2 linked regions of the Xenopus tropicalis genome follow. The protein of the gene in region 1 purifies or fractionates together with the protein of each later gene. This does not show direct contact. Links are inferred from orthologs where the notes say so. Each region holds a gene or a part of one and is shown in the gene's direction. Other genes may lie near its edges.

Evidence for each region.
Region 2: the proteins of sbf1 (region 1) and mtmr1 purify together in Homo sapiens (affinity purification with mass spectrometry; 4 studies listed by BioGRID and IntAct, with this or other methods). This does not show direct contact. The link is inferred for Xenopus tropicalis from reciprocal best matches to the Homo sapiens genes SBF1 and MTMR1.

Annotation. Positions count from the first base shown.
Region 1 is NC_030679.2:89,287,655-89,291,471, reverse strand, and holds part of sbf1 (myotubularin-related protein 5), read left to right. Parts: intron 1-592; coding exon 593-698; intron 699-872; coding exon 873-1,005; intron 1,006-1,128; coding exon 1,129-1,237; intron 1,238-1,941; coding exon 1,942-2,055; intron 2,056-2,315; coding exon 2,316-2,393; intron 2,394-3,200; coding exon 3,201-3,314; intron 3,315-3,496; coding exon 3,497-3,625; intron 3,626-3,817. UniProt on the Homo sapiens protein: Acts as an adapter for the phosphatase MTMR2 to regulate MTMR2 catalytic activity and subcellular location. Promotes the exchange of GDP to GTP, converting inactive GDP-bound Rab proteins into their active GTP-bound form.
Region 2 is NC_030684.2:58,028,738-58,033,147, forward strand, and holds the start of mtmr1 (myotubularin-related protein 1), read left to right. Parts: upstream 1-1,322; 5' UTR 1,323-1,649; coding exon 1,650-1,795; intron 1,796-4,410. UniProt on the Homo sapiens protein: Lipid phosphatase that specifically dephosphorylates the D-3 position of phosphatidylinositol 3-phosphate, generating phosphatidylinositol. Could also dephosphorylate phosphatidylinositol 3,5-bisphosphate to produce phosphatidylinositol 5-phosphate.

The DNA of each region.
Region 1 (3,817 bases):
CATTTACTCCTTCAGTTCTTTTACCTTGATACCAGCACCTGCACTACGCTTTTAAAGTTTACTCTTTTCTGGGCCATGCACTTTACCTTTACTTTGCTTGTGTTCTGTCAGTGTTCTTTTTTAAAGGGCACCTATCGCAATGTTTTTGCTTCCCCCACCAAATGTGTGGGTTAATAGAGCCTGCACTCTGGTTGGGGAAACAATAGTTTTTTTTCTAAAAGACAGCCCCGTCTGCACAAGGCCAAGTTATTTAGCATGCATGCGCATAATGAACTCCTCGCTCACTCATCATGCGCATGCATGCAACATAGGAGCGGTGGATGTGTCTCATGAGAAGCAAGTTGCAGCACTCGCTCGATATGCACATGTGTGTGCTGCAGTATGGCTGCCCGCACTTCTGGTGGGAGACGCAAAATCATTGATAGGTGGCCTTTAACCCCTCTACTGTAGGCCTTCATTTTCCTGTCCTGAATTAAAAGTTTGTAATAATTTTGTATGTATCTGATCTTTTCTGCTGCAAACCTTTTCCTTTTTACTTGGACTTCAATCTCTGTTTTCCTCCCTTGGGTGCATTCATACTGATTTTGTGTAGAGGACCATCTCTCTTGGAGCAGGAGACCGACAAGTTATACAGACACCAATATGTGACTCCCTGCCAATCAGCAATTGCAGTGTGGCCCTGCTTTTTCGGCAGCTTGGTAAGGAATTAAACATTCTGTTTATTCTCTTCTTTCCAGTTATACCCTTTGCAAACAAAATTAGTATTACTTCTTAACAAACTGATGGCATTTTCTCTACCTTGAACAAATCAGTATTATATTAAAGTCAATATTGTAGGTTTAACTCTTGGTTATTCTTGCTTGCATATCCAGGTATTACCAATGTGCTTTGCCTGTTTTGCGCAGCTCTTACTGAGCACAAAATACTCTTCCTATCCACGAGCTACCAGCGTCTCACTGAAGCTTGCAGAGCCCTTTTAGCCATAATGTTTCCTCTCAGATATAGGTGAGTCAATGCCTATAGGGCAATTTCACACTAAGTCTAAATGAATGTTTTTAACTTAACACATGCACTGTGCTCACTTATTTGTTCTGATAGTGTTCAGCAAATGTTCTGTTCCTCTTGCAGTTTCACATATGTACCCATCCTCCCTGCACAGCTACTAGAGGTTCTCAGTACCCCCACGCCCTTTATCATTGGTGTTAATGCCTTGTTTCGGGCAGAGACTCAGGAGCTGGTAAGGAAAATATTGCTTTTTTTGTGCTGTATAAAGCCGAACTATTGCCTCCTAGCATTAGTTGCAGCTAACTTAGGACTGTCTGGGTTAACAAAAATATCTCTAAAATGTAAGCAATTCTTTGTGCATTGACCTACTGTTTTATAAAATGCGCTAGATTTTGCTAATCTCTCTGTCCAGGAACTTTCTGAGTATAAAATGTGCCACATCCTTCCTTCCCTTTGATTTAGTTTAATTTTTTTTTTTTTTTTTTACTGATCCATATTTTCTGTCATTTTGATGCCTGGGAATAGGGTCGTTGCCTATTGTCACAAAACCATTACAGTGAATTTTTTACTTTCTGTATATTCTGTGCTTTGCTTCTTGCCTGGGATACAATTAATTTTTTTTGTACATTTGTAAGACCATCTCACCCCTGTGTTGTGCCTCTCCCAGACCAGCAGCAGAGATTATTATATTCGCTAGCAGCTATTTGTTACTGTAAGACTTTACAAAGGCCCCTTTTGTAAGTATAGGTTCTCCCTTGATGATATCTTCTCTGTTAAGTTTCCAGTTTTACTGAATTGCTGTAGGTGTGTCCTAAGGTTAGCTTGACATTTTTCTTGTGACTTTGTTCAGTTTTGCCTTTCTCTATTCATTTACGAAAAAGGTAATCCATACTCTGTAAATGTGTTTAACTCTGTGATTTCAATTTATCTCTCCAGCTTGATGTGGTTATTGCAGATTTGGATGGCGGCACTGTTACAGTCCCAGAGTGTGTTCAGATCCCTTTTCTGCCTGAGCCATTGCTGCATCACACACAAGAAGCAATTTCGCAAGTAAGTTTGACCCTTTATGTTCAGTATATATTTCCTGTCAGTACATTGTTTGCCACCTGATGACTTATACATACATATTGGTATCTTCTTTGTACATGCCTTTTTTGTACCTGCAGCCACTTCTTCCATTTTACCTTAGTATCTAGTTCTCTTTTCTTATTAACTTTTCTTTCTTTCTTATATTTATTCTCAGTCTTTGCATTTTTACTTGTTTTCATTTCTCCAACTCATTTACTTTTAATATATTTTTCTGTTATTAGGTTCTAGATCCCTCATTAGTGATTGCAGATCTGGCATTTCCACCATCCTCCATTACTGCATCTACTCTCAGAATGCAGGTAACCCTTTGCAGGCAATTTAATATCTAACACTAAGCTGGGTAACACTAATTTTGTCAAAATGATAGACATATCATGGTGTGTGTAAATGTAAAATATAAAATGTTAAAGGAGAAGGAAAGGCTAAGTCACTTGGGGGTGCCAAAATGTTAGGCACCTCCAAGTGACTTTAACCGCTTACCTTGTACCCCGGGCTGGTGCCCCTGTTAGGAGAAAACAGCACCAGCCCGGGGCACCTGCAACGAGCCTTCCTCCTTTCGTCTTCGCGCTACCGGCAAAATCCGTGGGCCGGCGCATGCGCAGTAGAGTGAAAAGCCAACTTCTATGTTTAAGTTCAGCTTTTTCACTCTACTGCGCATGCGTGTGAGGCAAATACGGAAGAGGAAGTGCTCGCAGCTACCCCGGGCTGGTGCTGTTATCTCTGAACAGGGGCACCAGCCCGGGGTAAAAAGTATGCGATTTAAGTCACTTGGGGGTGCCTAACATTTTGGCACCCCCAAGTGACTTAACCTTTCCTTCTCCTTTAAAAGTTTCATTTTAATTTAGAAATTTGCAACATAAAATAAATGTCCTCATACTAGCATATGTTTGATGGATTTAAGTAGTAAACATTTTTTCCATTATTCTTTAAACCAAAATTATTTATTTCCATCATTAATGCTGACAAAACATTTTTGTCAAGGAAATTGATTCATCCCTTCATTAATTGTTATATGTGTCCATATCACAATTTCTGGCTCTATGCTTTGATTGTAATTTTGTACTAAGGTTAATGTTTATTCAGGCTGTTATAATACTCTATTACAGGATATGGAAATACGTGCTTCGTTTCTGCGTCTTTTTGCACAAATCTTTCAGGGATATCGTTGTTGTCTGCAACTAATACGAATTCATCCTGAGCCTGTCATTCGTTTTCATAAGGTAAATCTAACTTTGTGTCATCTTCCTTATGTTATTTATCTAGTCACCTTTCTCTCTGTTTTTCCTCTTTCATCTACATCATATCACAAGTGCCTGTCACAGTCATTATGAGTGCTTCTTGAGTTTTTTTTTCATTTTCTATGGGTACCTTCACTGCTTTTCCTACTTTTATTTGTAAATAGGCATCTTTTCTTGGTCAACGTGGCTTGGTGGAGGACGATTTCCTGACTAAAGTCTTAGAAGGAATGGCTTTTGCGGGGTTTGTCACAGAACGTGGTGCACCATACCGAGCACTTGACCTGTTTGATGAGGTACATGCTTTTAGAGTTGTATGTATGTAAACACAATTTTAAAAAGCCATTTTCATTTCAAAAGCTATTTTGATATATAATATGATATATATCTGTAATGGCACACGGCATCCTTTTATTGCTGTTATTTTCTCAGGGAAAAAGCAACAATTAAAACGTCATGGAACCCTAAAAATGTAGGTCTCATGATAA
Region 2 (4,410 bases), on another chromosome or scaffold:
ACAAGCAGCATGATGGGACTGAGGCTGGTAAGTGCTAGACACAGCTAATATAAGTATTACCACATTGCACCATTGCCAGGCCCATATCACGTTCTATGCCTAAACATCTCCTACATAAACTCTGAAATTTGCTTTATCTTCATGTAGGGGATCAGAGAACCCTGTCCCCTGTTTCTCAGTCTGTGATCTCATCCAGCCTAGAGACTGGGGAGGGATCTGATTGGCTTGGATGCCCCAGTGCACGTCTGGGAGAGGTGTGCCTAAGCTTTGGAGCCAAAAATCTAGGGGGGGGGCCAGCAGTTTATAAAGGGAGCCCCTGCTGTTTGCCAGTGCACAGAGAGAGATCCAGAGTGAGCAGCCAGTACAAAGTGTGGTGTGTTCAGACTTGAAAGAATAAAAGTCTGCTGGACTGCTAGGGAGTATAAAGTCCTCTGTGGAACTCTCTGTGTGTGTGTCCCCTGGAATGAACAGGTATTGCCCGTTCGCCTGCTACGTGGGAGCAGCCACCCTTTTCAACGGGGAAGGTACTCTGGGGCAGGTAGCGCTACCTGGGGGGGGCTAAAGAGCTCTTGGGGAAGGGACTGAACTGATTTAAAGGGTTTGGGGGTCTATCCAAGTTGGGGCTGGGCAAGTACAGAGACTGTGCCTGCAGTGGATAGCCCACACAAGTTCCTCAGGGCAGGATTATCAATCATCCCTAAAGCTGTTCTATTTTCTATTTCAAAAGTTATATAAAGTTCGATATTGCTGCAAACCGTGTGTGATTATTTCCAGGTGGAAATCCCCTAGAGGTGTGTTCCTCAGTGTCCACTAGGTGGAGGCACTGCGCTGTTCCCAGTATCTATATTTCACTGAGAACACACAACTCCTGTAAATACAGCCCAATATTAAGTGAATGTGCCAAGAAAGGGTTACATTCATATAAAATATTATCCACCTTTCAAAACGAATATATATATTTTTTTAAAGTGACGTCTCAGGGTTCCACATTTTCACCAATCACATTGGAGAGATAAGCGGATTTCCATTTAGGAAACTGGGTAATATGGAGCAGTCGGTGCCCCTAGTAGTTACAATAAGAGTAAAGCAGATAATATAAGAGGAAGCCAACCTCAGTGACTAAACCCGCTATGGTGACGCACCCATTCCCCAGAACAGCTATTAGTAACTACGTGTCACGTGTGTCTACATCATTTTATTATCTTCAAAGTCATCCTCAGCAGGAAGGAAAGCAATAATCAGGCAAGACGCAGACAAGACGGTAACTATAAAGCAATGGTCATTTGTTATTACACCCACCACTGCCGCCACTTCCCTAAATCGTTTTCCCAAAAAAACCGCAATATAAACTTTGCGCAACTGAGACACACAAATAACCATCCTCCCCTCAGCGATGTCTAGTAGCAGCCGTAGTGCATTGTGGGACACAGCAGCTTTCTGTGCCGCCGCGGTGCATGATGGGCTCAGGGCCGATTGACAGTCCAAAGACATGGCGGCTGTGTGAGTCACTGGGTCTCCCTCCCCTGTGCAGGAAGCCGGCAGGAAGAGCGGCCTGAAATCCGGCTTTTCCTGTGCGATAAGCAGGCTAAGGGGGGGTCAGCGGCCGTACAAGTATCCGGAGAGGAGGGAGGGGTGGAAAGGAAGAGCCCATGGACAAGCTGTCGGGTTTGGAGGCTGTGCCTGGAGGGGGTGTAAGCGCTGCGGGTGCGGCGCCTGCTGCCAGAAAGCCTCCCCGGCCGTCCGCGCCCCCCTCGCTGCCCAGCTCCCGCCAGCCTAGCGTCGAGACTTTGGACAGGTACAGTACAGGGCAAAAATGCCACTCCCAGGCTGAGGAGTTAGGCTTGCATGGCTGAGCATCATGGGAAAGCAGTTATTAATCAACAAAAGAGGGGAATGAAATTGGGTAAATAATGCAATGCAGGATGTAACTGCGCAGCTCTAAAGCTTCATTGTGGCAGTGCCACGGTAGGCAGCACAGACCTGCATATGGCTGTAGGGGTTACTGCTGAGGGGAGGGATGTGAGGCTTCTCCCTATTCATTCTGTGAAATAGGTGCTACTTGGTTCCCCAAAAGCTTAACAAGTGAAACTGTGTCACCCTCAAGCCTTGCCTGTGCTGCTCTCACGGCCATACTGTTATGTTGGCATGTTTATAATAATGGGATGCGCTGTCTACTGTGAATCTGTGCTGAATGTCTGTGTGAGTGATACATCGTTTTAGACAATGATTACCCTTACCAGGGTATGATTTGTGCTTTGAGCTTCATTGGCAAATAGATGGCTATGCTTTGGTCTGTTTGGCCACTGTTGTACTGCCCCTAGTAAAGATGTACATTGTACTTTACATTGCCCTGAAGGAGGGTGTGCTTTGGGCCACTCTGCCCTGAGGATGGTGGGCTTTTGGGTGCACCATTCTACCCTGATGGGGGGTGTATGCCTGTAACTGCTCTGCCCAGTTTAGGAATGTGCATTCAGCTGCTCCAAGAGTAGCATCCATACAGCTTTTCTTCTCTATAAGGGGGTGTGTGCTTCTATAGACTACAAGGGGCCTGCTTTGGGTTGCACTATTATCCTACCAGTTATACAGACTTTACAGATAATTCTTGTTTACATATCACTTAGTGGCAATACACTGACTCAATTCAGAGTTGGCAGCATATTGCCTAATGTATGGTGGCAATGTGTATAGCCTGCCTGACAGATACCGGGATTGTGTGTTAATGCACTCCTCCTCAAATGATCTTTATATTCTCCTGTCATGATACCATTGTTTGTCCAGGATCCAAATGATTGAATCAGCCTGATTTGAGCCAACACATGACCAACCTTGATAAATGAGCAGATCTTTCTGTGTAGTCTAGCTTTATCCCCTATGATTTGTTCTCAGTATTGTTTGAATACTATTTGTACAAACCTTTGCTAAATTTGCAGGTTTCTCCTTGTGAACACATAGAAATAAAACTAACACAATCCACAAGATTCTTTGGGTAGCCTGGTAGTGTTTTTATCTCTCTCTGTAGGTCTACCGACAGCCACCAATGTCTTACATCAGAATTCTCTGTGTATACCAAGCTTTAGTTTACATTATTTCAGGGGTAGTTTATGCAAGGGATTTTTTTGTAGTTTTCAGTATAAACTAGCACATAAATGCAGAATGACAAAATGAGCAGGAATCAATTAGTGTAAGGTGGAAATGTTAAGGGGAAAGTAAAATTATGTAGGTTGACAGCTGGTATACAGTGCATGGTACTTGTTAACTCAACACACTTGCCATCCCTATATAATCATTTTGCTAATGCTAAGCTTGTCCAAACTGGGGAAATCCTGGAATAATATTACAGGTAGGTCCCATCATATTGTCATTATTGCAGCAGAGGTTAAATAAACACAAGTTGAAAGAAAAGTTGTAGTTTGTTAAAGTCAGTCTCACTGACAAAATTATGTAAAAGTTAGAAATCGGGTTAATATTTATTGTGCAGAGCCAGATATGTGGGAAGTTTATATAATTTTGGTGGATGTGTGTCTTTTTTCAATCTTATCTAAATGGTAACATAGAGAGAGTTTTTTTTTTTTTTGCACACAGTGTTTGAATTTGTCAGCCTATGAAAAGAGTTGTTACTTTCTGGGATTTGCATAATGAAATTGTGTATTATGCATTTGTAATGTTTTTAATGTTACTTGAAAATACTGTTGCAACTTAAAACATTATTTGGCTATGTCTTTCCATTCTGGTTCTGACCAGCTGGCATCGGCTACATTGTGCTACTGGGCAGCACGGTGGCTCGGTGGGGGTAGCACTTGTGCCTTGCAGCACTGGGGTCCTAAGTTGGATTTCAGCTTGGGTACTATCTGCAAGGGGTTTGTATGTTCTCCCCTTGCCTATGTGGGTTTCCAAAAGCATACATGGAAGTTTATTGGCTCCTGATAAAATTGCCCATTCTGTGTGGATGTTATAGGAACCTTAGACTGGAAGATCCACTGGGGGCAGGGGCTGATGGGAATGATGCATGATCTCTGTAAGGGAGGAATGTGCTGCATTGAACTGTGTGGGACAGATAAAGTGGTTTGGGAGAACAGATTGTATGCTTACTGCCTCTTGTGTAGATTTAAAGGGAACTGAGGGTTTGCAGCTTTAATAATCCGATAGGATCTAAAATTTGACTGAAACTATTTATCCTATATGTTTGGCAACCTGTAATGGGTCATTTCTTACCCACTCTTCTTGTCTGAGCCCCTAGTCACTGGGTGGAGGATTGAATGGTTTACAAAGGGCAGAGCTAAGGATTTTTCCCTCATGCTTCGATTTATTCCTGACAAGGATATGCTTGATACTCTTAAGCAATAGTATACATGTTTCTGTTTGTTTAAGCAACAGAGAAGCAATGATGTGCAGTTTACTGGCAAAAGCATT